Stegostoma tigrinum: one gene and its partners. The protein of the gene in region 3 interacts with the protein of the main gene of each other region in a pairwise test. Links are inferred from orthologs where the notes say so. Each region holds a gene or a part of one and is shown on either strand. Other genes may lie near its edges. The genes, in order: mal2, reep6, ndrg4 and agtrap.

Region 1 (7,203 bases), on a different chromosome or scaffold from region 3:
AGTGTGGAAGCAAGCCATTTGGGCCACTGAGTCCACACTGACTATACTGAACTAGCAATTCAAAGGCCTGGATTAGTGATTGGAGTCAGTTCAAATCTCTTTACAGCAGCTGGAAAAACCGGGGAAGGTAGGGAATAAAAGTCCATTTTATTCTAGATTTACTTAACTGAAATCTCAGAAACAGTGACCTCAAGTAGTAGAATGTCATAAAACACATCTTACACACTAATGTTTAGAGAAGGAAGTTTGCCTTCCATAACTGTCTTGGTAAAAATGTGCCTCCAAACAATTATGCCACCAGACACTTAAATAGCTGCAGAAACGGTCTGGCAAGCCATAACAATAATCTCAAAGATAATTAGGGACAGGCAATAAATGATAATCTCACAGGAACACCTACATTACACAAAATAGAAAAGTCATCTCTGACCATCTGTACTGGCTCCTGGTCTTTCACTTCTATCACTCCTAGTTTTACAACCCTTCAAGAACCTTGCTTACCTCCTACTACGGTATTAACCTTTCGCATCTGCACTGGCAACATATGTCTAACCCACATGGCCTCTTCGAGAATTTACATAAAACATCAAATGTTTGAATACCACGTAACGTTATTGTTTTAGCTTGACACTTATGCAAAGGATCTAGCTTAAGTACATTAAAAACACAAGGGATGTCCTTTTATACAGTTAGAAACATCAGGAACAGTGGCTGTGGGTTCAAGTTTCACTCTAGAACTCAACAGCCAAGGAAGGGATTTTCATAATACAATCAAACAGATTGAACATGAACTTGTAAATCTTTTCAACACAGTAATGCAGGTGCTAAAACTAGGCCAGATTTCTGAGCACCTAGTGTAAAAGAAAACTGAAGTCTTTATCATCAGAATTCAAAGTTCTTGCCTATGATATGCACATAAAAGTGTATATCACCATAGCAGAGATAGTAGGAACTGCAGATGCTGGAGAATCTGAGATAACAAGGTGTAAAGCTGGGTGAACACAGCAGGTCAAGCGGCATCAGAACAGCAGGAAGGTTGATGTTTCCGGCCTAGACCCTGCATCAGAAATCCTCTACTTCCTTTGTACAGATGCTGCCAGGATATTTCTCCAGCATTTTCTGCTTTCCGTTGAGAAGGGTCTTGGCCCGAAATGTCAACCTTCCTGCTCCTCTGATGCTGCTTGGCCTGTTGTGTTCATCCAGCTTTACACCTTGTTATCTCCATAGCAATTCAGTGAAAAGTAGCAGTTACTTAATTAGTTACTTAGATTTACTTAATTAACTGAATTTATATCTCCACAGCTGCTATAATGAAATCTGAACTCACTCCAGGTCACTAATCCACACCTTCGGACTGCTAGTCCAATAAAAGGGCCTGAAAACAAACAAATGCTACAGATCACAGCAGATCAGATGGCATCCACGGGGAGAGAACAAGCTATTGTTGAGTCTCGATGACTCAGAGCGGACTAAGATCACCTCGGCTTGAAACATTAGCTTGCTCTCTCCATAGATGCTGTCTGACCTGCTGTGATCTCCAGCATTTGTTGTTCTCAGTACAGATTCCAGCATCTGCAGTATTTTGCTCCTCTAACAAGACGGCCACTGTGCTAACATATCCCTGCAGAGCAATGAAAATTGCTGTGAGTTAGAATGAGCAATGTTGTTTTAGATGAGTGCAAGTTTATAGCAAGTAGAAGTTTCATGCTGGGAGGCTATGGATAAGACCACAGTTCTTTGAATTTGTGTTTTGGAAGTGCACAAATACTGTACCTGCATGTCAACAACTGGCTGGCTGACTAATGTGCATCAGATTTATATCACCAGTGCAGAGTTCTATCACCATTCCAACTAGCATTGATACTCCTCATGAACGTCTCTTCCACCTACCAGCAGTGCAGGTTATGGTGCTGAGAAAATCAGTCTCAGGTATTCCAGCCAGGGTAACTACTGAGGCATAAAATTGTCCTCAGTAACAGGGAGGGCAACAGGAAGGATCAGATTTCTCTCCTGCAAATCAGAGAAGGCAGCTTCATGTGGGAAGACAAAAAGCCTGTTCCGTGGCCTCCATTTCCGCGCTGCACCACCTCCTCTAACAAGGAAGGATTAGACCCGAAGCAAAAAAGTCTAAAAAATCGATAGTCAGCGTCGTTACAGAGTCCCAATGTTATTTTTAGTTCAGACTCTGAAACTGGCAGTTAGAAATCTGAGCAAAATCGGTGAGGAGATGCTCCGGGTGCCTGCAATACCACTGCACACCGACAGACTGCTCTACAAATTGTAGGGGAAAACAAAAAGGTGGAAAAACAACAGGTAGCTTTCCCTTCGAAGCTGCGAGGTTTTTAAGACGTTACCGAATAGCTACATGTCTCCCCCCCCCCGCCCCCCGACCCCAACACAGGGATTTTTTTGTACCAGTCAGCTCCGGGCTACACCTTCACTGATGATGCCCGGGGCGGACGACTTTGACGAGGTATTGGGATAAATCGGTGACAGGGACATTTACTCACAACCAGATTCCAGTCCGTATCCAGTCGGTCAGCCAGGCCGCAGAGGTACACGCACAGGTACAGCGTGGAACACAGGAACATAGTGACAGCCACGAACATCACCCAGCCTTGCATCAGGGGCACAGGCACGTTGGACGAAGCGACCAAAATCCACACCAAACCTCCGAACAGCTTTGGGCAAAACAGAAAGACCAATGTTAGCAGGCAGTTTCGGCGTCAGTGACCAGCCCCTAAGTTGCAGACCTGGGAACAAGTGCTAACTCACAATCTCTAAACAAATGAAAGCCCCGGAGTAAGTCTGCAGAACCGAGATCCCCAGAGGTAGGGTTATCCGAGGAGCTGGGAAAGCCATGGCGTTAGAGTTCAGGCTGGGATTGGTAGCAGGAGCCGACATGGTGGTGGGTGAGACCGCCCGCAGGGAGCCAGGGAACCGGCGGCTGAGCCGTGCGACACCGAATCCAGACAGGTGTAACTGAGCCGGGAGTGCGAGCCCCGCCCCGCACGGCACAGCCCCGCCCGGCTCAGTCCTGCCCCGCCCGGCACAGCCCCACCCGGCTCAGTCCCGCCCCGCACGGCACAGCCCCGCCCGGCTCAGTCCTGCCCCGCCCGGCACAGCCCCACTCGGCTCAGTCCTGCCCCACACGGCCCAGCCCCGCTCAGAGACAATAAAATGTGAGGCTGGATGGACACAGCAGGCCAAGCCGCATCTCAGGAGCACAAAAGCTGACGTTTCGGGCCTAGACCTTTCATCAGAGAGGGGGATGGGGAGAGGGAACTGGAATAAATAGGGAGAGAGGGGGAGGCGGACCGAAGATGGAGAGTAAAGAAGATAGGTGGAGAGAGTATAGGTGGGGAGGTAGGGAGGGGATAGGTCAGTCCAGGGAAGACGGACAGATCAAGGAGGTGGGATGAGGTTAGTAGATAGGAGATAGAGGTGCAGCTTGAGGTGGGAGGAAGGGATGGGTGAGAGGAAGAACAGGTTAGGGAGGCAGAGACAGGTCGGACTGGTTTTGGGATGCAGTGGGTGGAGGGGAAGAGCTGGGCTGGTGTGAGGCAAGTGTAGCACTTCCTGCGGTTGGTGCCGGGTGTGGTGGCATTGGAGGGGAGTGTGGAGAGGACAAGGGAGTCACAGAGAGAGTGGTCTCTCCGGATGGCAGACAAGGGTGGGGATAGAAAAATGTCTTGGGTGGTGGGGTCAGATTGTAGATGACGGAAGTGTTGGAGGATGATGTGTTGTGTCCGGAGGTTGGTGGGGTGGTGTGTGAGAACGAGGGGGATTCTCTTGGGTGGTTATTGCATGGGCGGGGTGTGAGGGATGTGTTGCGGGAAATGCGGGAGACACGGTCGAGTGTGTGCTTGACCACTGCGGGGTTGAAGTTGTGGTCCTTGAAGAACGCGGACATCTGGGATGTGTGGGAGTGGAATGCCTCATCCTGGGAGCAGATGTGGCGGAGGCGAGGGAATTGGGAAGAGAGGATGGAATTTTTGCAGGAGGGTGGGTGGGAGGAGGTGTATTCTAGGTAGCTGTGGGAGTCGGTGGGCTTGAAATGGAGATCGGTTTGTAGGTGGTTGCCTGAGATGGAGACAAAGAGGTCCAGGAAGGTGAGGGATGTGTTGGAGATGGCCCAGGTGAACTTGAGGTTGGTGTGGAAGGTGTTGTTGAAGTGGATTAACTGCATCCATCGTACCCATTGTGGCTTCCTCTACATTGGGGAAACCAAGCGGAGGCTTGGGCACCGCTTTGCAGAACACCTCCGCTCGGTTCACAATAAATAACTGCACCTCCCAGTCGCAAAACATTTTAACACCCCCTCCCATTCCTTAGACATGTCCATCATGGGCCTCCTGCAATGCCACAATGATGCCACCCGAAGGTTGCAGGAACAGCAACTCATATTCCGCTTGGGAACCCTGCAGCCCAATGGTATCAATGTGGACTTCACCAGTTTCAAAATCTCCCCTTCCCCCACTGCATCCTAAAACCAGCCCAGCTCGTCCCCGCCGCCCTAACCTGTTCTTCCTCTCACCTATCTCCTCCTCCCACCTCAAGCCGCACCTCCATTTCCTGCCTTTTAACCTCATCCCGCCTCCTTGACCTGTCCGTCCTCCCCGGACTGACCTATCCCCTCCCTACCTCCCCACATATACTCTCCTCTCCACCTATCTTCTTTTCTCTCCATCTTCGGTCCGCCTCCCCCTCTCTCCCTATTTATTCCAGAACCCTCTCCCCATCCCCCTCTCTGATGAAGGGTCTAGGCCCGAAACGTCAACTTTTGTGCTCCTGAGATGCTGCTTGGCCTGCTGTGTTCATCCAGCTTCACACTTTGTTATCTTGGATTCTCCAGCAGTTCCCATTATCTCTGATCATAGCCCGGCTCAGCCCCGCCCCTCCCGGAACGGCACGGTCCCGCCCCGCACTGACCCAAAACAAACAAATGCAGCTCTTGTTCTTTGTGCTTTAAGTAGCCCATCTGCAGATTGCTTATAACAATTGGTAGGAGACAGTGAAGTTAGCTTCTCCATCGGTCTCAACTTATGCTTTAACACTGTAGTCACGGGTAGGACAGTATTCAGGTGCAATGATTGGGCGTAGCAAGGAGCAAAAAAAAATTACACGATTTCTGAAACGAAAGCGATGCCTCCGTGAAAAATATCAACACACCCATTGTGCCTGATAAAGATACAGAGAGGGTGGCCTTGATGACGTCTTTAAACGTCGAATCATATTTCAACCGGATCTGGTAGGATCAGAAACGAACAATGTTTAGAGACTTAAGGATTAAGTGGTAAAGCCAGATTTGTTGTCGGAGCAACAGGTGTTGTTTGTGGTATCCAGGTAGTACCCGGCCAGGCTTTTAGTGCTTTGAAGTTTAACGATACTGTAATACTCTTTTAACAAACATTTTCTTAGACTATTAAAAGTAGGAGCAGAAGTAGAGTATTCAGTTTATGAAATCCACTTTCCATTCGATCAGGCTGTGGTTGATCTGGTAGTCTTCAACTTCATTTTCTTGCCTTTCCCAAAAACTTCTCATTTAAAATCACCTGAGCCTTGAATATACATCGTATGCAATAAATAATTCCATGGGCTGAGTCTCAGCTGAGAGAAGAAATTCCATCTCATTTCTATCCTAACTGGACTTGCTACTCTAAGATTATTCTCACTGGCCCCAGGTTGTCCCTCAAGGGAAACAAGCTCTCTGCATTAGCCCTAACAAGCCTCCTAAAAATTTTGCACGTCCCAATAATGTCACCTCCCATCCTTCTTAATGAGCATCAGTGCTGGGGGCTTTACAATTTACAAAACATGTTTGATTGAAAGAAGTGAATGCACTGTAGCCAAACTTGCAAATGTCAAAAAAAAGTGGAAAGGTAGGTCATGAGATGGATATAAGCAGTTTACAGGGAAGATTGATACAGTGCGGAGTTGGAGGAACACAGCGGATCAGGCAGAATCAGAGGAGCAGAAGAGTCAATTTTTCGAGCCTAGACCCTTCAGTAAGACTGGAGAGGGGAAAGGGAGCTGGAAAATAAATAGAGAACAGGGGTGAGGTGGGAAAAGCTAGGTGGGATGAAGGTGAGTGGATGTGGGTAGCGAGTAGTGGAGATTGGTCAGTGGGAAAGGTGGGGCGGATAGATAGGAAGAAGATGGACAGGTTGTGTCAGGTAAGGGAGGCAGGAATGAGAGGGAAGGTTGGACATGGGATGAGGCCGGGGGTGGGGAGATTTTGACATAGGTGAATCCTACGTTTAGGCCATCCGGCAGTAGGCTCCCGAGATGGAATATGAGGTGTTCCTGCAGTTTGTGGGTGTTGTCATTGTGGCACTGGAGGAGGTCCAGGATGGACATGACACCCGGGGAATGGGAGGGTTGGTTTAAATGGTTAGCGACCAGAAGGTGTTGTTGATTATAGCTTACAGAACGCAGGTGCTCTGCAAATATGTCACCAAGTCTACATTTGGTCTCACTGATGTAGAGGAGACCACATTGGGAGCAACAGATACAGTAGACCAGGTTGAAGAATGTACAGGAAAGTTTGTCCTGTGCCTTGGATGGAGGTGAGGGGGGAGGTGTAGGGGCAGGTGTAGCACCTCCTTTGGGTGCAGGGAAAGATGCTGGGTGTATTGGGGCTGGTAGAGAATGTGAGTGGACAAGGGAGTTGCGGACTAAATGGTCCCTAGGAAAGACAGATAGTGGGTGGGGAAGGAAATATCTGTTTGGTGGTGGGGTTGGATTGTAGGTGGCGGAAATAGCGAAGGATTGTGCACTGGATGCGGAGGTTGGTGAGGTGGTATGTGAGGACAAGGGGGACTCTGCTTTTATTTTTGTTGGGAGGAGGGGGTTTGAACGTAGAAGTGTGGAAAACGCAAGAGATGCAGTTGAGGGCATTTTCAATCAATGGAACAGGAAGTTACAGTCCTTGAAGTAGGAGGACATCTGGGATGTCCAGGAGTGGAATGCTCCAAATTAGGAGTAGATGCAGCGGAGGTAGCAGAGTTGGGAGTGAGGGATCACATTCTTGCAGGAAGGTTGGTGAGAAGAGTAGTAGTTAAGGGTTTGAAGTAGATAACGAGTTACTGACATTCCGCATCTACGTGGCGACTATCCAAATTAGATAGGGCTAACAATGTTGGGAGATGTATAAACATTGAGTCAAGGATCTTCTGGTCTGAACTGTCCAGTTAGGTCTCT
Region 2 (6,992 bases), on a different chromosome or scaffold from region 3:
CTGTTAAGTCTTACAAAGATTAATTTAAAGAGAGGAATTTAACATCAAGGTTGACTGGCAATACAAGTTACAAGTTATGAACTTCCATTACATTTTGCTCTTCTTAGTTACATGGTGTGTACATATTATAACAGATCACATACTCAACCCCATGAATGTTATCAGCACGGTTACTGACTATTCTGTCTATTTCTGTTTTGATGAAGGGTCACTGGACTTGAAACACCAACTCTTTTCTCTCTACCGATGCTGCCTGTCCTTGTGTGTTTCCCCAGTGCTCCATTCCTGTTTCAGATTTCCAGCAACTTCAGTATTTTTGCATTTATTCTTTTCAGTTATTCAGTTCCATGTCCAGCAAGTTGCTGAGCCATTATCCAAACAGGGATGATCCGGCAATGGATTGTGGTTTATCTGGAGTTAACTGCATAAGTAGTAAGTGGAGTTAAGGAAATCATTTTGGGGAATTACCACATTAATGTTTTAGTCACAGAGTTCAAATATTCTGTAACATGGAAGAACTGATCTGAAGAAGGGTCACTGGACCTGAAGATGTTAGGTCCACAGATGCTGCCAGATTTGAGCTTTTCCAGCAGACTGTTCCCGTTTCTGATTTCCACCATTCTTTTGCTGTTGTTTTTTTAAAAAAAATCCTGATTAATTATGTTTGCATCTTCTCCAATGATATATTCCTCCTAAAGTGTGGATTCCAGAATGCACACAATACTCTAGCTGTTGGCTGACCAACTTTTTAAATACAATTCCTACATAAACTCCCTTCTAATGCCTTAGCTAGAGACAAATATCCACGTGCCTTCTTAACCACTTTATCGACTTGTCCTATGGCTTGAAGGGATAGGTGGACATGCACACCAAAGTCCTCTGATCCTCAGCAATTCCTAGGGTTGTTCTACTCTTCATGTATTCCTTTGCATTCTTTATCCTGCCCAAGTCCAAAAGATATTTGAAAACACGAAGGTATTTCCACCATGTGCAAATAAACAATTGCATAAATGAGAAAACTAAAATTTCTGTAGACACACAGTTAGTATCAAAAAAGCTGGCACATTTGTGGAAGTCTAAAATATGTGAAATTTTTTTACATTTCAATACACAAAAAGGATTGTTACTTTCAACATGTACCTTTTGGTATTGGTGTTAAGAAGCCCATACTTCAGAACTTGAATTGAAAACTTTTCAGATTGACAAATAAAATATGTAATTAAGGAAATAAGTTTCAAAAAGGAGCTTCTTGAAGGTACACATAGACCTGAAATAGCATAGGATTTGAACAGAAGATTAAAAGAAGTGGCATATTTAGGTAACATCTTGTCTTTAAAATATTTTGCATATTGCTGGGATACTTGCTGAATGTTGGATCAGAACTGAATTTGGACGCAAAATAGTACACGCAATAGTGCGGAACAGAAGAAAACAGGTCATTGACCCAACTGGCTCACAGTGCTTGTGCATCACACCAACCTCCTTCAGTTTTCATTAAATTCAGTTCTAATAGTTTAACCTTTTTTTGCATGCACGTCCATTCAGTTTCTTCTTAGAGGGCATCTATGCTATTCACCCAATTACTTGCACTATTGGATTTCAATTTCTGAACACTCTCGACAAGGAATGCCAAACAAATTTATTGATGTCCTACACCACAGGTTTAACCAGGTCACCCCTCCATTTTCTCTTTTCTCGAGGAAAAAGGAAATCCCCTTGCTGAATTTTCCCCCAATATATTTAATTTATGAGTTCTGGTGCTGGAGTTTTCTTTTGGCACTGCTTCAATAATAAAATTAATTTTAAATTTATTCTTTCACACGTGTTTCACTGGCAAAAGTTAAAGTATGTTGCCCATCCCAATTGCCTTTGAACTGAATGGCTTTTTGGGTTACAGTATTTCAGAATCAACCACGTTCCTGTCACGAGTCACATGCATAAGCAGTGAACTCTGAACTACGAGTTTATTTTTACAACAATTGATGACAGTTCTGCGGTCAACATTATTGAGGCCAGTTTTCAATTCCAGCTTTTACTAATTGAATCTGATTTGAATTTATGTCACCAGAGGATTAGCTTGGATCTGGATTAATAATCCAGTGACATTCCCACAACATAACCTCCCAGCATTCTAATCTGCACGAAACATACAATGCTACTCCTTCAAAAATAACAGCTTAACCAAATTCACAGATTTCCTATATCTACCACAATTAAGTGAAAACTGTTTCAATTGTGGTTCCTCCTTCTTACTAAAACAGACCAAGTTTCTAACCAACTTGTTAATATATAAAGAGTACCAATTCAGTCAGCATATGCTTAGAATATCATATAAATCTTGGAATTTTAAATGTTGTCCTTTGACACAAACCACATGCCTCTCAGCTCCAAAACCACGCACTAACAATGCAATTTAAATCGTTACAGCTCATGATTGCAAAAAAAAGACAAGTATTTAAGTGACCCTTACAATTTCCACTATCAATATCACCGATTCGTGTCTTGAAGGGTCTTGACTTCCCCAAAAACGTAACCACAGCTTTTGGCAACATGTAGCAGACGGGTGACACGCGTTCTGAAGGGTCGTTCAACCCGAAACGTTAAGCCTGACTGCTCTCCACTAATTTCTGATTTCCAGCGTCCTCAGTTCTTTCTTTTTACAAGCGAAATCAAATCGCAGTCGAAGCCAGCGCAAGTTGACATTCAACAACATATTACAATTGGGTGCTAACAAGTCTCTGTGACCTACCTGTGGCTAGATTGTATTTACGCACCCCGGTCTTCTCTTCAATCTTCCCCAATAAGTTGGTGATGAAGTTCTTCTCGTTCAGGAAATTCTCAAAGCGCTCTCGCAAGGACGGCATTTTGCAATAAATACTACTAAAGGTAACAGAAGACACTACTAACTCCCAACGCGTTCCGTTTATTGCAGCTATCCCACTAATCTTCCACTTTGCTGACTCTCAAACCTTTCTGCCAATCCGCTTAACGACGACGCGATCCGTTTGTTGGAGCTACGTTTCCGGCATCATTTTGTGATTGGCACACCAGTTGCCCAATTGGAACCACGGTTGATACTCATACCCAGATCTTTGTTTGTCAATTTGACTTTGTATAGCGATTTAAAAAGAAATGATAGACAGGCAAGTCCAGAAGGGACCATGTTTTGGAGTACAATTTACAGTCCTGGTCACCGTGTTATAAAATTGTATAGAGGCACAAGAATACTATAGATGCAAGAACAGATTTACTAGAGTTAAGGGATAACAAGGCGTCGAGCTGGATGAACACAGCAAGCCAAGCAGCATCAGAGGAGCCGGAAAGCTGAAGTTTCGGGTCTGGAACCTTTTGCTCCTCCGAAGCTGCTTGGCCTGCTGTGTTCATCCAGCTCTACACCTTGTTATCTCAGATTCTGCAGCATCGGCAGTTCCTACTATCTCTTTACTGGAGTTAAACCTGAATTCGGAGTTCATCAATATCAGAAAAAAAATTGAACGTTTTATTCTGAAAAAGTAGAAGACCGACTAGACGTATTTGATGCTACAACTTGCTTCACTAGAGTAGGTCAAGGCTTCTCAAAGTGGGGGTTCGTGACTCTAGCAGAGTTGCCTGCTGAAATTTTGGGGTTGCAAGCTTTTCAGGCAGTAATGATCACCACAAAGCACCCTGCTGTGTTCATCCAGCTCCATACTTTGTTATCTTGGATTCTCCAGCGTCTGCAGTTCCCATTGTCACTGCTCCTTTCCTCTCGTTTTCATAGGTCTTTGCTCTTGCCTCCTGTTCTCATAGGTCTTTCCAACCACCACCAACCCCAACTTCTCAGTTTTCCTTGAGGAGTCATGACAATTTTCAATGCTTCTGATGGAGGGTCAATGACCCAAAATGTTAACTCTGATTTTTTTTTTAATCACAGGTATTGCAAAACCTGCTGAGCTTTTTTTTAGCACCTTCTGTTTTGTTCATGACAATTTTCAAGTCTTGAAATGGCATCATTGGGAAAAGGTTTGGAAGTCCTAAGGTAGATGTAGTAAGACCATTTATTGTTGTTGGGAGGCCAATACTTTATGACCAAATGTATAAGATAACTAATTTAAAAATCTTTTTCAATTCAAGAGAAACTTTGTTTCGCAAAGGCAGATTGTGAAACTCACCAACACAAGGAGAGGTGAACCATCTAGAAGCATAACATGGTTATTGAATGAAGCCATTTAGTCTGTCGTGTCTATGCTACTTCAGCTAGAACATTTCATCGGCATTTGCTTTCTCCCACCTCCACGAAAACCTTTTTCCTTACATAATTAATGATTCAACTCACTTTGGAAAACCATGGCCGAATGTGCTTCTATCAGAGGCAGAGCAGGTTCCAGATCATAAACAATAAATACATAAAAAAGATTTTTCTCATGTTGCCTTTGGTTCTTTTCCAAGTCATCTTAAATTAATGTTTTCTGGGTTTTAACTGTCCCAACTATAGGGACTTTACATTTTGTGCAGAAACTTAATTATTTTGAACATAATCTATCAAAACTCCTCTCAAATTGCTATGGTAGCTAAAATTGTGCAAACTTGAAATTAATTTTGTAAATACTTTTTGCACTCTTTAAAATGCTTTCATGTTTTCCTAGAATGTACTATCCAGACATGGATACAATTCTTCAGTTGAGGCTGAACTAGTGTATTTTAGAACTTCACCATAACTTGTACCTTCATCAACTCTCTCTGTTGGTTCATCAAAAACTTAAGCTAGTTAATGGCCTTAATCTCCCCTTCATAATTCTATGTCGGTTTCTTAATCAACTTTGTATTTCTCAAAGAGACTGTTAATTGGGTCTTGAATTATTGATTCTAAATCTTTTCCCGCCAACAACCTTAAAGTGAATGATCCATAGTTGCTATCTTAACCTTACACACTTTTGTGAACAAGGATGTAAAGTTTGCAATTCTGTACTGTGGAACATTTACAGTGAATCAAGTTAAGCACATGAGCGAAAAGGTTATAGAAGAGTATGGGACTTGATGAAGAAGGGTGGAGGTGGTTTGTGCAGAGTGTAAAATCTGGTATGGACAAGCTGAACCAAATGGTGTATTTGTGTGTTGTAAATATGATGCATAGTCTACTTATATATGCAAATGGCTAGAAAGTCAGGATGACTACCAGCATTTGCAGGCAACATAGTTGGTAGCTGTTTTAGTGAAAGTGTCTATTCAGCTCATTATGACAAATAGCCAAAACTAATCCAATGCCCAGCCTTTCTCTCCACAGGTGTCTTGTTTGTGTTTTCAATATTTCCTGTTTTTGGTTTAGAATTAAAACGTTTGATTATTTTCTTCTAATTGTATAATTTTCAAATGTTCAAGTTGTTTTCTGAGCATTGTAAACTACTTTTAAGAGTCTAAATCAGTTGAGTAATTTGCAAAAAGACTGTTCATGATCTTTGAAAGCTAGTATTCAAATTACTGTTGCTTCTGATCATAATTATAATTAAATATTTCCCTCATTTATTGGTGCTAACAAAACACAAATAGACAGAGCACAGAAAATGCTACAAATACACTTAAAATCTAAACAAAAAAAGCAATCTTATCAGTAGATTTTATGCTGCATTTTAATAGAAGACAAGTTGTGCTTAGAAAAATGGGTCACACAACATAAAACAGTAAATTGCTGTTTCAAAGTAAATAATAAATTTCTTGGTTTGTTGTAATATGAGCTAAATAATTATAACTAAAACACCTGCAAGAGCTAAAAGAGATTTGGGCAAAAACAAATGAATATGTCAATGTTGTTATTCCATGCACTTTCCTCTTTCCATCATCTTTTACAGTGACTTCTATGCAAAAATAGTTAACATGGGAGCCACACCCAGGGCATAAAATGAGCACATGGTTATAATCTGAAGTAAAAGTTGAAAAGGAAAACAATACAACAAATTCCTTCAATGTAAAATCTGTAAAACTTAAATTTCTGCAACTTGTAACTACTAATGAATCTAATTTGTACTTTCACAATTAAAATGTTTTGGGACTGCATTATATGTGGTATAGTAACAGGAATCAATGTTTGGTTTTTGGGAATTTATTCGGCAAAGTTAGTTATCTTGGCCTTCTTTTTGTCCCTGGTGAGGGCTGTTTGATTTAAAACATTATTCTTTTAGAATGCTGCAGAATATATCAGATGCTGCCTTGGAATTTGTCATAGCTTTAAAAAATGAGCACCGTTTTCATAGCTGGCTAATGGATGTGGACTGGCCTAAAGCATCTCCAATGAGATGCAAGTTCTTAATAATTACTGTTTCTCTGTTATTTATTTATAGAGTATTAGTAAGGCAAGGTGATGTCTCAAAAACTGCTGCGTAACAACATTAACTCTGTGTAGTGATGGCTTGCAATAAGGGCCTTCTTTACCTGCTTTCAAATGGAATCATAAATTATTTTCCAATCTGAGAGACATGATACTTCCGTTCATTTTTATTCCCCTGTACTTCTGATTTTTCTTTATTTCTAAGTGGCCAGGTTACTTACAGGATGCAAAGTGTGGTCTAATTAGAGAATTACAAAGTTTAATCATTATCCCTTCTCATATATTTAACAGTAATTCAACATTTGTATCCCCTTTGATGAAAAACCCTAAAATATTAGCTATTCCTTTTTGTTCAGATACTTTCTGATCTGCTGAGTGGATTCAGCACTTTCTGTTTTCAAACCTATTAATTTAGTAAATTGTGTATTTGTTTGACATATTTTAGAGACAAATCTATTAAGTTAACATTTCTTTCAATTTCATCCCTAGCTTTTTCAGCAGATATATATCCACTTTACAGTTTTATGATGACAGGTTCAACTCTTCCTCCGCCCACACAGTTTATCATTTGCTGTAAATCAGTGGGTGCTATCTCTGATTGCTCCATATCTGTTGATAACATAAAATTGTGACATCATGGCCAAAATTTGGGATGAAGCCCACAAACTATTTTTTCACAATGCAAGATGAG
Region 3 (7,191 bases):
CATACTGAAGATCACTTGTAAGAACAGGAGAAAGCCATTCAGCCCTACTTGTTACTTCATATAATCCCCACAGTGGAAGTGAGCCATTCAGCTTGAGTCTATACCAACCCTCTGAAGAGCATCCCAAACAGTCCCACGCAATTTCTAACATGCATTTCCCATAATTAATCTACCTAGCCAGCACTTTGGATTATGGAAGAAATTGGCACACCTGGGGGAAACCCACACAGATGGAGGGCGGGGAATGTGCAAACTCTACATATATGGTCACCCAAGGCCAGAATTGAACCAAGGTCCCAGGCGCTGTGAAGCAACAGTGCTAGCCACTGAGCCACCATCCCACCCTATATTTTTCCCCTTTTTGCACAACAAAAAGTTATCAATCTCAGTTTTGAAATTTTCTAATTCCTGCTGTGGCTGTTTAGTGCCAATACATGTTAAATTAGGGGAGTTGTTGAACTGTGGGTTTTTATCCAGGAGGAACCAGTTTCAGGGCATTCACATTCATTTTAGGCAGCATGCTTACAGCTGTAAGAAGTCAATGCTACGCAACAAACAGGTCCAAAAAAGTTAACAATTGTAGGAAGTACAGACGTTTCAACATAATAGGAAGGTACTAACAAAAATATTATTTTATTTGTCCCACTGTCTGAGTTAAAATTGCATTCTTAATCCCATATTCTGAAGATCAATATATAAGCAGTGAATCTGTCTGTCCAATGATAGTCCAAAAACAGACTGCAGGTTCAGTCATAATCATATGAAAGCACATTACACACTGGGGCCTTGGTGTAGAATCATCAATATGCTCATGCATCAATCTCTAATATACTATTTCGGCATAGGACTTCAACAAATTCCCACCACCCCATAGCTGCAGGAAGAAATGATTCATGGTCTATAGTCATAATCTGTTAGCTACCAAATTTAATTCAGCCAGCTTGAACAGAAAGCTGAGACCTGGTAATCAAGCTTCCCTCTCAATTGCATTCGGAATTCACTCCAGGGACAGTCAGACAAAGGCAGGGATCCCTAACCTTAATTTAAAAGAAATGGTTGGTGTTCTATCTTACACCATATTCTGTACATAAAGTTTGTCAATACTCACATCAATACTTCTGTTAACACCATTGTAAGATAGCACTGATCTGAAAATAAAACAAACCCCAGGCAACAACTCATTGATTATATTCTTCAAAAGATACTAGGGAGATTGTCCAAAATAATAGTTTAACATCTGAACTTAGATGAGAAATGATAAAACCATTGGAGTTTTGCACTATAGCTTACCATTTCACTTGAACCCTGTTGAAGAGATTCCAAACCATAACCTATGACAAAGGATGCAAGAGTAGAAGCGGCAGAGAGTTAAATACTAAATAAAAACCAAAAGAACTGCAAATGCTATAAATCAGCGACAAAATAAAAATTGCAGGATAAGCTCAGGAGGTCTGGCAGTGTTTGTGGAGAGAAATCAGTTAACGTTTAGGGTCAAGTGATCTTTCCTCAGACCCCCGGTTATTCACTGTCCTATAAACCAGCCTTCCAAACCACAGCTTGATATCACCAAGCTAATACCCTGGATTGTTTGTTTGAGTGAAAAGTCTCGACATGTCATTCCAGGTGATGTCCTGCATTCAGGGTCTTGGTCTTCCAACTAAGTTTCACAACACTTTTTATTTGAAAAGCTGCGGTCTTGCTTATACACCAACAAGTTACTACACAGAAATTACACATGCAAACGGGCCATTCAGCTCAAACAGTCCATGTTGACATTTACCCACTCCTTCTGATGATCAAATAATTCCTCATCTAATGATTCAATCTACTGTCTTGAATTTTAATATAATTTCTTCCTCAGCCACTAACCTAGAAATGAATTCTACAGCCTCACACTGAAAATGTTAAGCTCTAGATCTCATATTTAATATTGTATTAAAGGCCTTTCATTCTTGACCCCACAATTAATGAAAACAGACTTCTGTAGCCTATGTTCAAAGCTCAACACTGAATTCAGTATTGTCTAACCCGCATTGTTAGAATGAGAAACGGAGCCATTTCTTATATATCCTCATAGCATTCTACAGTATCAACTTCATTCCCTGAAGTCGCAACATCCTTGCTATAGTGAGAAGTATAAAAACTCCGTATTCAGAGTTATTACTAAATTTTTAATTTTATTACCTCTTTTAACTCAAGATAAAACCTCCAATGCAATGAGCCTTTTCTCTCTTTTTACAGAAAGTCTTATCAACCCCAAGATCTGCCCTTAATATCTTCTTTCCTCATTTCCTATTCATCTTATTGCCGTACTCTGTTGAATGTTGCCAATGAAATACATTGCTAGTCAAGTTCTTTGCTTATCTATTTCCTCACTTTTCTAAATGGGTCTTTTGTCTTTCCAGAATGATCATTTGATCTTTAGATTCTCATGCTGCACAATCTCGCTGCCTGATTCACTCTGTTACTTTGCTGATTGGTAATGTTTCCTTCTGCTAGGTTTGTTACTGAGTTTATATCAATTCCTCCTTCCTCTCTGGCTGCATTCCATACTTCAGCATTTGTAATCAAATTGTGAAAGGAATCCTGCTCCATTTTCACTCCCACCTCTCTTTTCGAACTGTCAGTATCTCTCTCCAACCACAACTTGCACTTGACGTTAGGCACTCAATGGATCAGAGGTTCTGCATTCTCTCTTCTAAAGGATAAGTTACACACCGACGCCGTTCTCCCCACACCAAGAGTTATAAACTGACAACAGAGAGGTTTAACACTTTTTCAAAATAAGAAAGGGAAGTTAGAACACAAAAAAGTCATAACACTTTTTTTGTCTATTCGGCACTCATTCTGAACTCTAACCTTACTTCCCTAAAGATCTGGAAACAAAGAAAAGGATCAAAATTGTTTTATGATTGTCCACCTGACGCATTTCTGCCCGATCGGTTTTCGGTCGTATAGTGACAGCCAATATGTATGGAAGTGTCAACTACTGTATGCGTGTGCATACACCAGGGAAAGAGGAACAATACGGTGTTGCAGGAAGTGACATTAAATGCAAATATTTATGGTAATTATAACCTGTAATGGCAAGTGTCGAACCACATTTCATGAGCTGCATTGAAAGAAACAATCGTCCTGCACTTTGTCACGTCGAACTTGAACTATTTGTAATGAACGTTTACACCTTTCCCCCCCCCCCCCAAAATACGTACTTCATTAATAGAAAGAATCTTGTTCTCCTCCGCTATCCAGTTTATCCCCACTGGTTAAATGTCCAATACCCCTGTACGCAGAGACAAAGCTCTGCTAGTCACATCTTCTTATTGGACAGGGCCCCTCAACTGAAATTATACAGCCCTGACGTCTAAAGGAATACCTTTCCAAAAAAATCTTCTAAAAGCACACACACCGCCTCGAACTTAAATTCGATTTAGCTTTAGAAATCTAGCTCATAACGATGAATGAAGGTAGACTTTAGGACCAGGTGGACACCTCGAAACTGAAGCACTTCAAACACGAAGCTTACACCAATTGCTTAAAAGTGAGGTTATTGAATGCGAAAGTCTTCCTGCTACTGAACGCACCCGACATATTAAAAAAAAATACGGCAACAACGAGCAGCTTTCTTTAAATCAACTGATGCTGAGGTCAGTACATGATATCCTAACTCGACTGCAAATAGATACCTTAGTTTCGAAGGAATTTCCGCCCACTTCGGCCCACTTACCCGGTTTAAAATCCCGGCTCCAGGCGCCCTGCCGCACGTTGGAGATCGTACCCGGGCCACTGTGCTAACCGTTGTGGGGTTCACACAGTGAGGTTCTCGGTCACTTACTCGGGGTGAAAGACAGCTCTGCCTCAGTGACCACAGACTGAGAGAAGCAAGAAGACATCCACCCTCAGAGAATCACTGGCAAATATTCGTGATGTTCAGACTGCGTCTCCAATAGACATCCAGCGTTTCCACTTAACAGCAAAACATTCACAGCCACTCAATTCAGCAGTACTCAAATACACCAGTGACCCACAGCCATTCTGAAGAGTTGAATAAGCTGATGTGTTATCTATATTCAAAAATAAACGACAAAATAGATACAGGCAAATACGGAAACTTCATTAACTGGACGGGTTTCAAGTAAGATAAAATTGTGTTCTGCTTACGTCTCTCCCCAGGCCGCCATATATCGTGGCCTCTTTTAAAAAAACATATAAAGTAGTTGAACAAATTGAATCAATAAAATAATGAAATTTATATACTCATTTGCACATGTGATATTGTTAGTATGCACATTTAACAACTGTGGAGAAAGGAGAAGTATTGCCTGGGTCTAATATAGCCTTTTTAACATGGTAATGAAAACAATAATGAGAATTAAAATAGTTAGTCCTCAGGACATTACAGACTCCTGGGGCCATATTTTCAAAGGGCTTTGGAGGACTGAACTGATGTTTGCAAAATTTAAAAATTATGGTTACTATAGTTTGTCTCAAGATCACAATGCCTTTAGGAAAGTTTTGTACTTTTGACTGAGGCTGGGGAAGCCAGTACGGAATATGGTGGCAACCAATTAATAGCTGTTTAAACTCTTTTAAGTGGCCTGCTCAGTTTGGAGTAGAATTCTAAATGCTCAATTCAGCAAGTCAAAATATGATTTTCTCCCTGCCGTCATTACTAGTGTGTTTTTACTGCTCTTTCTGCTCTTTTAAAAGCTTGTTTCCTCTTTTACTGGATGTAGGAGGCTTTTGAGACTTGAGTGTTCTGGTGGGTTTTTTTTTAAGAGGAGTTTTCTGTTTAGAGATGTTTTCTTCACCTCGATGTTTAGCTTTGTGACATTTTTCTGGGTGCTGGGAGGTCTTAAAACTGTACTACTGGCTTTGTGAAAAAAATATTTTTCAAGTTCTCTTCATCAGGTGATTTCAAGTCTACTTCTTGATCTTCACAGCCACCAGTTATCTATGCAGTGGATCCTATAGCTGCCACCATGTTTTATCAAGTGGTTTGATGCCACACTGTTTGTGTGCTTTATAGTGTAGGTAAGAAGGCAAAGTCAAGAAAGGTTTGTAGGCTTAGAATTCAAAATAACACAATGTATAATATATTAATACTAAATACTGCCACGTTTGGTAACCATAGATGTACCACACTCTGACTTATTATGTTTGGACTAATCTCAAGATTCTCTAAATTTCTAGTGTGTACCGTTGTAGTCTTCTTCTAGAATGTTCTTACTTTGCCCATTCTGTGTTATTTACACTCAGTGATTGTCAGTTTTGGAATGTAATCAAAAGAATGCTCAGGGGTCCCGATGTCCTTGCACAACAGTTTAAAACTCTGAATTCACCTGGGTGATGTGTGCCAGACTGTGTATTGCAAATCAGCTCCTTATAGTCACATCAGGGAATTAAAAGGAAGAGGAAGAAATTGCCAAATGTAAAAATAGTCAAAAATGTTCAAACTTCACTAAGCTTAGAACTTGTGCCTTTGGATTGAAATATAATAGCTTCACTTGTAATTTAACAGTGGGAAACAGAAACTAGGCAGCAAAAAGTTTGTATATTAACATCAATTGTGGTGAAATTGCTGGAATATGTTATTTATTATCAGAGACAGTTTGGGCAAATGGTTTTCAAATAAGCAGTAGACATAAGAGATTTTGGAACAAAAACAAAGTTGCTGGAAAAGCTCAGCAGGTCTGGCAGCATCAGCGAAGGAAAAAACAGAGTTAACGTTTCAGGTCCGGTGACCTTCTGAAATTCTGAGGAAGGGTGACCGGACTTGAAGCATTACCTGTGTTTTATCCTTCACAGATTCTGCCAAACCTGCTGAGCTTTTCCAGCAACTTTGCTTTCGTTCCTGATTTACAGTATTCGCAGTTCTTTCGGTTTTTATAAGAGATTTTGGATTGGAGCAGTTCTCTTACAGAATGACATGATTCAGATGGAAAAGCTTATTTTCCAATAAGTTGAAGCAACATCAGAGAAGAGATTCTACTAAAGAAAAAGAAGCATTGCTGGTGTTAGTAGCTTTTCAACACTTTTTTTGCTTGACATAGAAACTGTGCAGTTTTAGTTTTTACAGATCATAATGCATTAACTTTTATTGAGAACTTTGAAACTAAAATTCTGAAACTGTTTAGATGGAGTTTAAGTTTTCCATTAAATACATTCTGCGCTCTCACTCTTGCCATTCACTATGGTACGGCTATCAGCTCTAGTGGAGGGGTATATGCTCCTGCACTCCGTCACCCTGGCCACTGGTTTTCAGGACTGAAGGCATGGTGAGTGGGAGACAGGAAATCTGATAAGTATTCCAGGTCCCCTTCCTCATAAGGAGACAAGGCAATGCCAGAAGTTGCCCCACTGGAGAAGGATTCATGCAGCATGATATGGCTGGATAAGCAGGGTAGAGGTAGAGTACCTAGCCTCTACTCGAGACACACCAGAGGTGACTGGTCACACTACCTCCTTGCCCCTCCCTGACCCTTGGAAGTTCACATCAAGTAGATCCTCAGCATGTTTGCTCCATCCTGACACAAGTGTCCTCATGGTCAGCCAATCAAACCTTATGGCATAAGACCCCACTGCTGAGCAGACTCCCTCCACCCCAGTTGCAAAACCCCGGTCTACGTTAAGATGTGGTAAGATCTGCATTAAGATGTAAGGGAGAGGAAGAAAAAAACTTATTGAGGGCACTTTGGTGACACAGGTGTCAACACAACGCATGTTAATTTGTACTTTTCTATAAATGGCACTGCTTTCGTCGTACATCTGTTTGATTGTCACTCGGTGTAGCCCCAGTTGTAAATGTTCCAGCATGAGGAATAATCCCTGACCAAAAAGGATGTACCATGAATTGATGTCTGTAGTGAAAATTAACTGCATCATCTGGAAGCAAGAGGAATAAAGCTGCTGCTGACATTTTTGGCCCTCGTTCTACAACATCCTTATTCTTTCCTGGCCACTGTGTCCAAAAGTATTGGTGTGAATGAGTTTGTCAGCGATGTATCGGGCATAACAAATTAGGGATTATACAATAGGATAGCCAGGGATTAGAGACCCTGCAGATCAGTGTCCGGTACAGTACACAGGTGTGTATGTGATGTTCTTTTCCTTTAAAGGTCCTCACATCGATGAGTCCTTCAGTCCCCTGATTCACAATTTGAGTCATTTACCTTCATTCTGAGTGCAGTC
Region 4 (7,822 bases), on a different chromosome or scaffold from region 3:
AAGATGATTTTCCATATTAAGCAGATGTTCACCTGCACATCTGCCAATGTGGTACACTGTATCCACTGTACACGGTGTGGCTTCCTCTACATTGGCAAAACCAAGCGGAGGCTTGGGGAACACTTTGCAGAACACCTACGCTCGGTTTGCAATAAACAACTGCACCCTCCAGTCGCAAACCATTTTAACTCCCCCTCCCATTCCTCAGACGACATGTCCATCATGGGCCTCCTGCACTGCCACAATAATGCCACCCGAAGGTTGCAGGAACAGCAACTCATATTCCACTTAGCAACCCTGCAGCCCAATGGTATCAATGTGATCTCCCCTTCCCCCACTGCATCCCAAAACCAGCCCATCTCGTCCCCTCCCCCCACTGCATCCCAAAACCAGCCCAGCTTGTCCCCGCCTCCCTAACCTGTTCTTCCTCACCTATCCCCTCCTCCCACCTCAAGCCGCACCTCCATTTCCTACCTACTAACATCATCCCGCCTCCTTGACCTGTCCGTCCTCCCTGGACTGACCTATCCACTCCCTACCTCCCCACCTATACTCTCCTCTCCACCTATCTTCTTTTCTCTCTCCATCTTCGGTCCGCCTCCCCCCCTCTCCCTATTTATTCCAGAACCCTCTCCCCATCCCCCTCTCTGATGAAGGGTCTAGGCCCGAAACGTCAGCTTTTGTGCTCCTGAGATGCTGCTTGGCCTGCTGTGTTCATCCGGCTTCACACTTTGTTATCAGCACATTATGACGTGAATGGCTGTAAATTGGGAGAAGGGAGTGTGCAGTGGGACTTGGATGTCATTGTGCACCAGTCACTGATATTAAGCACGCAAGTGCAGCAGGCGGTCAAGAAGGCAAATAGTGTGTGCGCCTTCATTGCGAAAGGTTTTGAGTCCAGGAGCAGGGATGTGTTGCTGCCATTATACAGGGCCTTGGTGAGGCCATACATAGCATATTGTGTGCAGTTTTGGTCTCCTTTTCTGCAGAAGGATGCTCTTGCTCTCGCTCTCAAAAGGAGTGCAATGAAGGCTTACTAGGCTGATTCTGGGGATGATGAAACTCACATATGAGGAGAGATTGACTAGGTTAGAATTGTCTTTGCTGGAGTTCAGACAAATGAGGAGGGGATCTCAAAGACTTAGAAAATTCTAATAGGACTAGATAGGATAGATGCAGGGAGCATGTTCCCAATGGTGAGTGTGTCCAAAAGCAGGGATCACAGTCTGAGAATCAAAATGGACCATTTAGGTCAGAGATGAGGAGACATTTATTTTCCCAAAAGAGTAGTGAACTTATGGAATTTATTAGCACAGAAATTTGTTGATGTCAAAACAGTAAATGTATTCAAGTGGTGGCTAGATATAGCACTTGGGGGTGAATGATCGATTATGAGGAAGAAAGCAGGAATAGGCTATTGAGTTGGATAATCAACCATGATCATGAAGAATGGTGGAGCAGGCTTGAAGGACCGAATACCCTCGTCTTGTTTCTATGTTTCTTCCATGTCTACAACTTCCACCCACACCTTCCAAACACTGTCTAAATAACTAGTGTTGTGAAACATTCTCTTTCACTACCACCGCCACATACTGTCAATCATCCAATTACCGAAGCAGGACTCAGTTTTCCATAAATTGATTAGATTCGATTCCTAGATTAGATTCCCTACAGTGTGGAAACAGGCCCTTCGGCCCAACAAGTCCACACCGCCCCTTGAAGCATCCCACCCAGATCCATCCCCCTACAACCTACACAACCCTGAACACTATGGGCAATTTAGCATGGCCAATCCACCTAACCTGCACATCTTTGGACTGTGGGAGGAAACCGGAGCACCCGGAGGAAACCCACACAGACACGGGGAGAATGTGCAAACTCCACACAGGCAGTCGCCCGAGACTGGAATTGAACCCGGGTCCCTGGTGCTGTGAGGCTGCAGTGCTTACCACTGAGCCACCGTGCCACCCTATCTGCATTTCATTGTTCAATACAAACTCCAGACAGCACTGCCCCTTCCTAACCAGCTCCCCTTAAATATTTGCTCCAATGACTATTAGCTGTTGTCTAACCTCTGGAACATATATCCTGGACAATAATTTACAATATGGTCACTTTCTGTCAATTACTGAATATTGTTCTTCTGAGGTTTGTGTTCTAGAATCTTTGCTGCCCCTTCAAAGCCTTCCTTAAACTCCATCTCTTTGGCCAATTCTTTAGTCAACCTTTATATAATTTCCTTTGTCTCAATGGCAATTTACTTTCAATTAATCCTCAAGCAGGATGCAATACTTTTTCTACAACAAAAAAGGGCTAAGAAAAAAAATCAATGAGCGTTTGATATTACCACATATTTTCACCATGTGGACAGGAATACAAATCCAGTTAACAGATGCTTGTTAATTAATGCATCACTCACCAAGTTGTCAGGAGCCAGTGCACAACGATGATCATCTGTAGAAACACGAACCCAGGTCAATCCGAAAGAACAAACAAACACTACAATTCTATAGACAGACTGAACTAGAGTCTGTCGTTCTCCCACAACATCATTCCTAGAGAATCACAGAACACCCGAGATTATAGCCTGAAACTGACTCAGAATTTCTGTCATTTGACAAAACCACTCCCTATAGCCCGTCGACTAGATATCAGTCTGCAGCTCACTAGTGAAGGGGGAAAGCAGGCAGTAGGAGCTAGGGGAAGGTAAGGCAAGGGAACAACGGGAGAGGGAGAAAAGGGGATGAAGGGACAAAAGTTATGCTCAGCTCCGCACAACACCAATAATTTAAACTTCGGGCTGTTCCTAAAGCCAGACTGTTTCTTTAAGATCCCGATCGATAACCCTGTTCTTAGCGGGCAGCCGGAGTTCGATTTCTTGACCCTCACATTTCCATTCCACAAACTTTACCTTCAGGCTAACCACCGGCAGTTCCATCGCTGAAACTTCATGAAGTAACAAACTTCGAGGCGACCCATGTGACCCTGCATCATGTGACCCGGGCTGGATGAGGAAACCCTCAGGGTGCTGATGTTTGTTGGGTTCCTCCCGCCTCAAACCCCACAATTGAAGAAGGTGGCAAAACCGATCAATGACACTGACTCATTGCTCTCTGAGAATCAGCTGCTTAACGTCATAAGAGAGTCTTAAAATTAATCGTGGACATAGTTCACAGTCAGTGGGCCTCTGATGCGCTAACATTATATTTCTGCCGAGTCACTTGAATCGTCATTATCCCCAGAACGAAAAAAACCCGTTAATTTTACATTAGCTAAAATAACTTTAAATCGACATACATCGATGCTGCCAAATGAAACTTTTGTTTCAGAATTGGTTATTTAGGGTATGGGAGCGTTGTTGACAGGGGAGGCTTTTGAACAAAATGAATATGTTAACGCTGACAGGAGTGCGGGAGTTGTGACATTTCGCATTTTGCTGTGGTTTCTGGCACTTGTCCACACGGAGTTGGTCTCTATCGGGTGTCGGACCTGCTGCAGCAGATCACACCCCCAGACCAACGACCAACACTGTGGACATTCATTAAAATCGTAATAATCAAATATTTATGGTGGGCTTGCACATCCCTCAAATGCCAAACTAATACACCACTGCCACTTGCTTACGTCAAATCAGTTAGGGATAGATTTTCTAATACACTGTACCTTTTAAAATATGTAAAGTATCAGGTGCGAGACAAAAAATACTGACAGTAAAAAACAAAGCCAAAACTATCTTGACTTTGGTGCATCAGCTGTGTCTCAGTGGTAGAGATAATGGGAACTGCAGGTGCTGGAGAATCCGAGATAACAAGGTGTAGAGCTGGATGAAGGCCAAAGAGCATGAGAGGAGCAGAAAAGTTGACGTTTCGGACCGAGACGTTTCTTCAGAAGGCGGGGGGTTCTGAAATAAATAGGGAGAGAGAGGAGGCGGATCGAAGATGGATAGAGAAGATCGGTGGAAAAGACACACAAGTCAAAGAGGCGGGGATGGAGCCAGTAAGAGAGAATGCAGGAGGTAGGGAGGAGATAGGTAAAGGGGGCGGGGTAACTCTCAAGACCAGCTTGTACTACCTATTTCCCTTGGTGTGATGGCACTAGACCTTATTCTTAAACCATTACAATTCATGTTGTGAAGGTTCTCCCAACGTGCTGGGAGTTCTACATTTTGATCCAATAATAAAGAACACATCTCAATCTAACTGTTGGATACAAACAAATGAACATTTGACAGAAGCGATTCTGAAGTTCATTTTCTCTACAATTAAAATTACAATGAGACTGAAATAATCAGGTGTGCACCAAGATGTGAGATGAACTTAGTCAGTATGTTCCATTTCAAAGTTTTTAATTGGTTGTCAGATTTTGTTTGTTTCATGTAGGCTAATATTAAAATTAAATAGAAAACAAAAGTGCAAAATCTGATACATAATCATTCTTTCGTCATGCATTCCATTGCTATAAATTCACATGCAGGACAACACGAAGTGTAACTATAACAGACAATGCAACTATAACAATATGACATACAGTCTGCAAAGACTTTACATTTCTTTTTGAGATACAGCATTGCTGGCAAGATCTGCATTTATAGCCCATCACTAAATGCCCTTTCGATGGTGATGGTAATTTGCCTTCCTGAATCATTACTATCTGTGTATGAAAATATTTACACAATGTTGTTAGGTACAGACTTCCAAGATTTTGACCCAACAATGATGAAAAACAGCAATATGTGTTCAAGCCAGATGGTTGTCACAGTGACTAACTATAATAATGTGACAATATATCTATAAAAAAAGTTAAATATTCTCTCAGTTTTACAGTTATTCAAAGTAGAGATTCTCACATCACAACCCTGACCCTTACTGCAATATCTAAATTGGACTGTCCTAATACAAAAACACAAGAACTGCACCTATGCCCATCTATACCTGAGTCATAGAAAGGCTGTGTTTTAACATTGTACAAGAAGTAAAATATTACAGACACTGTTGTGCATCTGAAATACCTTTACTCAAAACAACGAATCTCTGTTCTTATCACAGATGAAGACGGACCAGCTCAGTGTTTTCAGTACTTTCTATTCCTTGTTCCATCTTCACCTCTTACAACACAAGTTATAACAAGGGTTGAAAACTACTTGGAGAACATTGTTGGAAAAGGTAATTAATTATAAGTTATATTAAGTTGAAATGACAGTAGTCCTTTGAAAACAAGGGTCATCTATTCGGTGGATGTTATGATAAAGCTTCGACATATCTGTATAACATCAACCAGCTTTTCTGATTCTTATTATTATCTGGGACACTCCTGGATATATGCCCAGTTATCAGGTGAGAAAAGTACAGAGTCTTTGTTGCCCTTCACATTCAAACAGTCCACAAATAATTTACGAATATTCAATGTTTAGACTCATACTTGGTAACAGTCACTTGGGCAAGGTACAGGCTGGTACCAGCACCTAGAGATGTAGCTCAGTAAACATCAAATGAAAAATTTCAGATTGATTAACTATAAACAATTCAATTATTATACAGTAATTGATCACGGCTTTAGGCTGTGCAGGAGCCTAAATTGTGTTTTAAAGAGTCTGGTTTTATTGTGAGTTTAAATTATATTTATTTTTAAAAGTTGGTGAAATATTGCAGGTTTGTAGTAATATCAATAAGTTTAAAGCTGAAAACATGTTGGGACATCTGATTTCAAGAGAATGATCATTCATGAATGATCAATGGTGACAACGTTTTAACAGAAGGGTGATACCTGATGGGAGGTTGTCTCAAGTAAAGCTGTTGGGAGAGAACTGTAGGGAGATTCCTAGAAAATAAAAAGATATAAGGAGGAATTCAAAGATAACAAGAAACTCTTGTATACAAGGTATTATTGCTAAATATTGTGTTAGTTACCATTTTGCTAAATAACATTCAAAACTGTTTATGAAAGTACGGTATTACAAATACAATTTTCGTGTGGGTACGAGCAGCAGGATCATTTCAAATAAGAAATGAGTTGAATGGGACAATATAAACCATTGGGGATTCCATTATCATAGTTGAGTAGTGGATTCTGGGTATTGTTGGGATTTGTTGGATTATAGTTTTGGAATGTAGGGCGTAAATAGGGATATTTTCAACAGACATGACTGGGTGATTGCAAGAATCTTATTCCAGACTGCCCCAGATGTGGCATCGCCTATCAGGGCAGTCACAGGCATTCTTGGAGCCATCAAGATTTTCACTGTTGTTATTGGATGAGGATTGACTCGTTGTGTGGGTCAAAACAGCTGGATTCCTTATGATGTCTGCTCAGACCGTAATAAATGATCCATGATTGATGTCAACAGATTCTGGTTCCACACATCGTCCTCGCCTGCGGGTCACTCTCCGATTCCGATGGAACTTGGCATAACAGCGAAGACCTGATAAAGACAGAAGAGTGGGTTCAGTCTTGAGCACTCATCTGACAGGGCCTGGCTCAATTGCCAACTTCACTTCTAACACGGTCAGGAATCAGATGATACCAGGTTATAGTCCAATAGGTTTACTTGAAATCATAAGCTTTCAGAGTATAGCCCCTTCATCAGCGAAATAAGAAAGAAGTACACAGTCACAGAATTTATAGGCAGTGAGATGTAAAGATCATACAACTGGTGTGAAGTGGAGTGTTGAATAATAAGTCTCCATGGGTGATCCGAAGTGTCAGATCGTATAAGTAAAGTGTTGGCAGCTGAATAACAAGTGAAGGGATGGTTTATAATCTGATTAAATGAGGCAGAGGGATAATTACAAAAAATTAAAAATAAGATGATGTCATGTTATTCCAGTCATTTGGTTTGTCTCCAGCACCACCTTACTTTTAATGTTTTTGTAATTATTTCTGAGCCTCATTTAATCAGATTATAGGTAATCCCTTGGTTTGTTATTCAGTTGTTGATGCTGTACTCACATCTGATACTTTTGCTCACCTGCAGAGACTTATTATTTGACACTCCACTCTCACCATTTGTATGATCTTTTGATTTCTCTGCCCTTGATCTCTCTGCCTACAAATTCTGTCTCTGTGTGCTTCCCTCTCACTTCACCTGACAAAAAAGGTTATACTCTGAAAGCTTGTGATTTCAAATAAACCTGCTAGACTAAAACTTCATATTGTCTGATTTCTGACCTTGTCCACCCCAGTGCAACACCAGCACCTGCACATTATCACTTCTAACAAGACTGAGCTTCTTTTTCCATCTACCATTCTGATATTAATAATTCACACTTTCAGTGTGTAATGCAGAGTCAAAACACAACCTAACAGTGGACGTAGCTTTAATGTTTACTTCAATGAAACGTTAACTCTGCTTTGTCTCCACAGTTGCTGCCAGATCTGCTGAGCTTTTCTAGTAATTAGTGTTTTTTTTTGTTTTTGATTTCCAGCACCCGCAATTCTTCATTTTTGTTTTGTTAAGAGTAGCTTGTTCGAGGACCAACACATGCCTCCAACAATCCTGACAGCACCCCAAGATTTGAGCGAGGGTACCTTTGAAGTGGCGAACCCTCAATTTCAGGACCAAATCTGACTTTGATGCACATCATTGGTAACCCGGTAGGGAGTGAGAGGGAAGATTAAACTTTTTATGTTGATAGCTAGCGCTCAAACCTCAGAGACTTTGGCTAATCTTGAGCCAAAGCTTGCACCCACCTTCTGCACACATACAATCATCATAGCACTTGTTATTGAGGCCGCGGTTGTGGGCTTTGCAGATGTGCTGCCGGAGGTCACAACACCAACCTGTGGAAAACAAACACGGATATCACAGTAAGTTCAGGTGTCATTT

The links.
Region 1: the proteins of ndrg4 (region 3) and mal2 interact in binary tests that used the Homo sapiens proteins (3 or more experiments, as listed by UniProt). The two-hybrid records come from large-scale screens. The link is inferred for Stegostoma tigrinum from reciprocal best matches to the Homo sapiens genes NDRG4 and MAL2.
Region 2: the proteins of ndrg4 (region 3) and reep6 interact in binary tests that used the Homo sapiens proteins (3 or more experiments, as listed by UniProt). The two-hybrid records come from large-scale screens. The link is inferred for Stegostoma tigrinum from reciprocal best matches to the Homo sapiens genes NDRG4 and REEP6.
Region 4: the proteins of ndrg4 (region 3) and agtrap interact in binary tests that used the Homo sapiens proteins (3 or more experiments, as listed by UniProt). The two-hybrid records come from large-scale screens. The link is inferred for Stegostoma tigrinum from reciprocal best matches to the Homo sapiens genes NDRG4 and AGTRAP.

What each region holds. Positions count from the first base shown.
Region 1 is NC_081358.1:12,535,140-12,542,342, forward strand, and holds the start of mal2 (protein MAL2), read right to left. Parts: upstream 3,002-7,203; 5' UTR 2,905-3,001; coding exon 2,776-2,904; intron 2,682-2,775; coding exon 2,511-2,681; intron 1-2,510. UniProt on the Homo sapiens protein: Member of the machinery of polarized transport. Required for the indirect transcytotic route at the step of the egress of the transcytosing cargo from perinuclear endosomes in order for it to travel to the apical surface via a raft-dependent pathway.
Region 2 is NC_081383.1:11,413,496-11,420,487, forward strand, and holds the start of reep6 (receptor expression-enhancing protein 6), read right to left. Parts: upstream 3,019-6,992; 5' UTR 2,865-3,018; coding exon 2,750-2,864; intron 1-2,749. UniProt on the Homo sapiens protein: Required for correct function and survival of retinal photoreceptors. Required for retinal development.
Region 3 is NC_081369.1:10,586,709-10,593,899, forward strand, and holds the start of ndrg4 (protein NDRG4), read right to left. Parts: upstream 3,007-7,191; 5' UTR 3,006-3,006; coding exon 2,921-3,005; intron 1-2,920. UniProt on the Homo sapiens protein: Contributes to the maintenance of intracerebral BDNF levels within the normal range, which is necessary for the preservation of spatial learning and the resistance to neuronal cell death caused by ischemic stress.
Region 4 is NC_081381.1:28,426,050-28,433,871, forward strand, and holds the start of agtrap (type-1 angiotensin II receptor-associated protein), read right to left. Parts: upstream 3,010-7,822; 5' UTR 2,939-3,009; coding exon 2,912-2,938; intron 2,556-2,911; exon of another isoform or gene 2,455-2,555; coding exon 2,420-2,454; intron 1-2,419. Other genes in the region: draxina (draxin), read right to left, coding at 6,306-6,418, 7,687-7,776. UniProt on the Homo sapiens protein: Appears to be a negative regulator of type-1 angiotensin II receptor-mediated signaling by regulating receptor internalization as well as mechanism of receptor desensitization such as phosphorylation.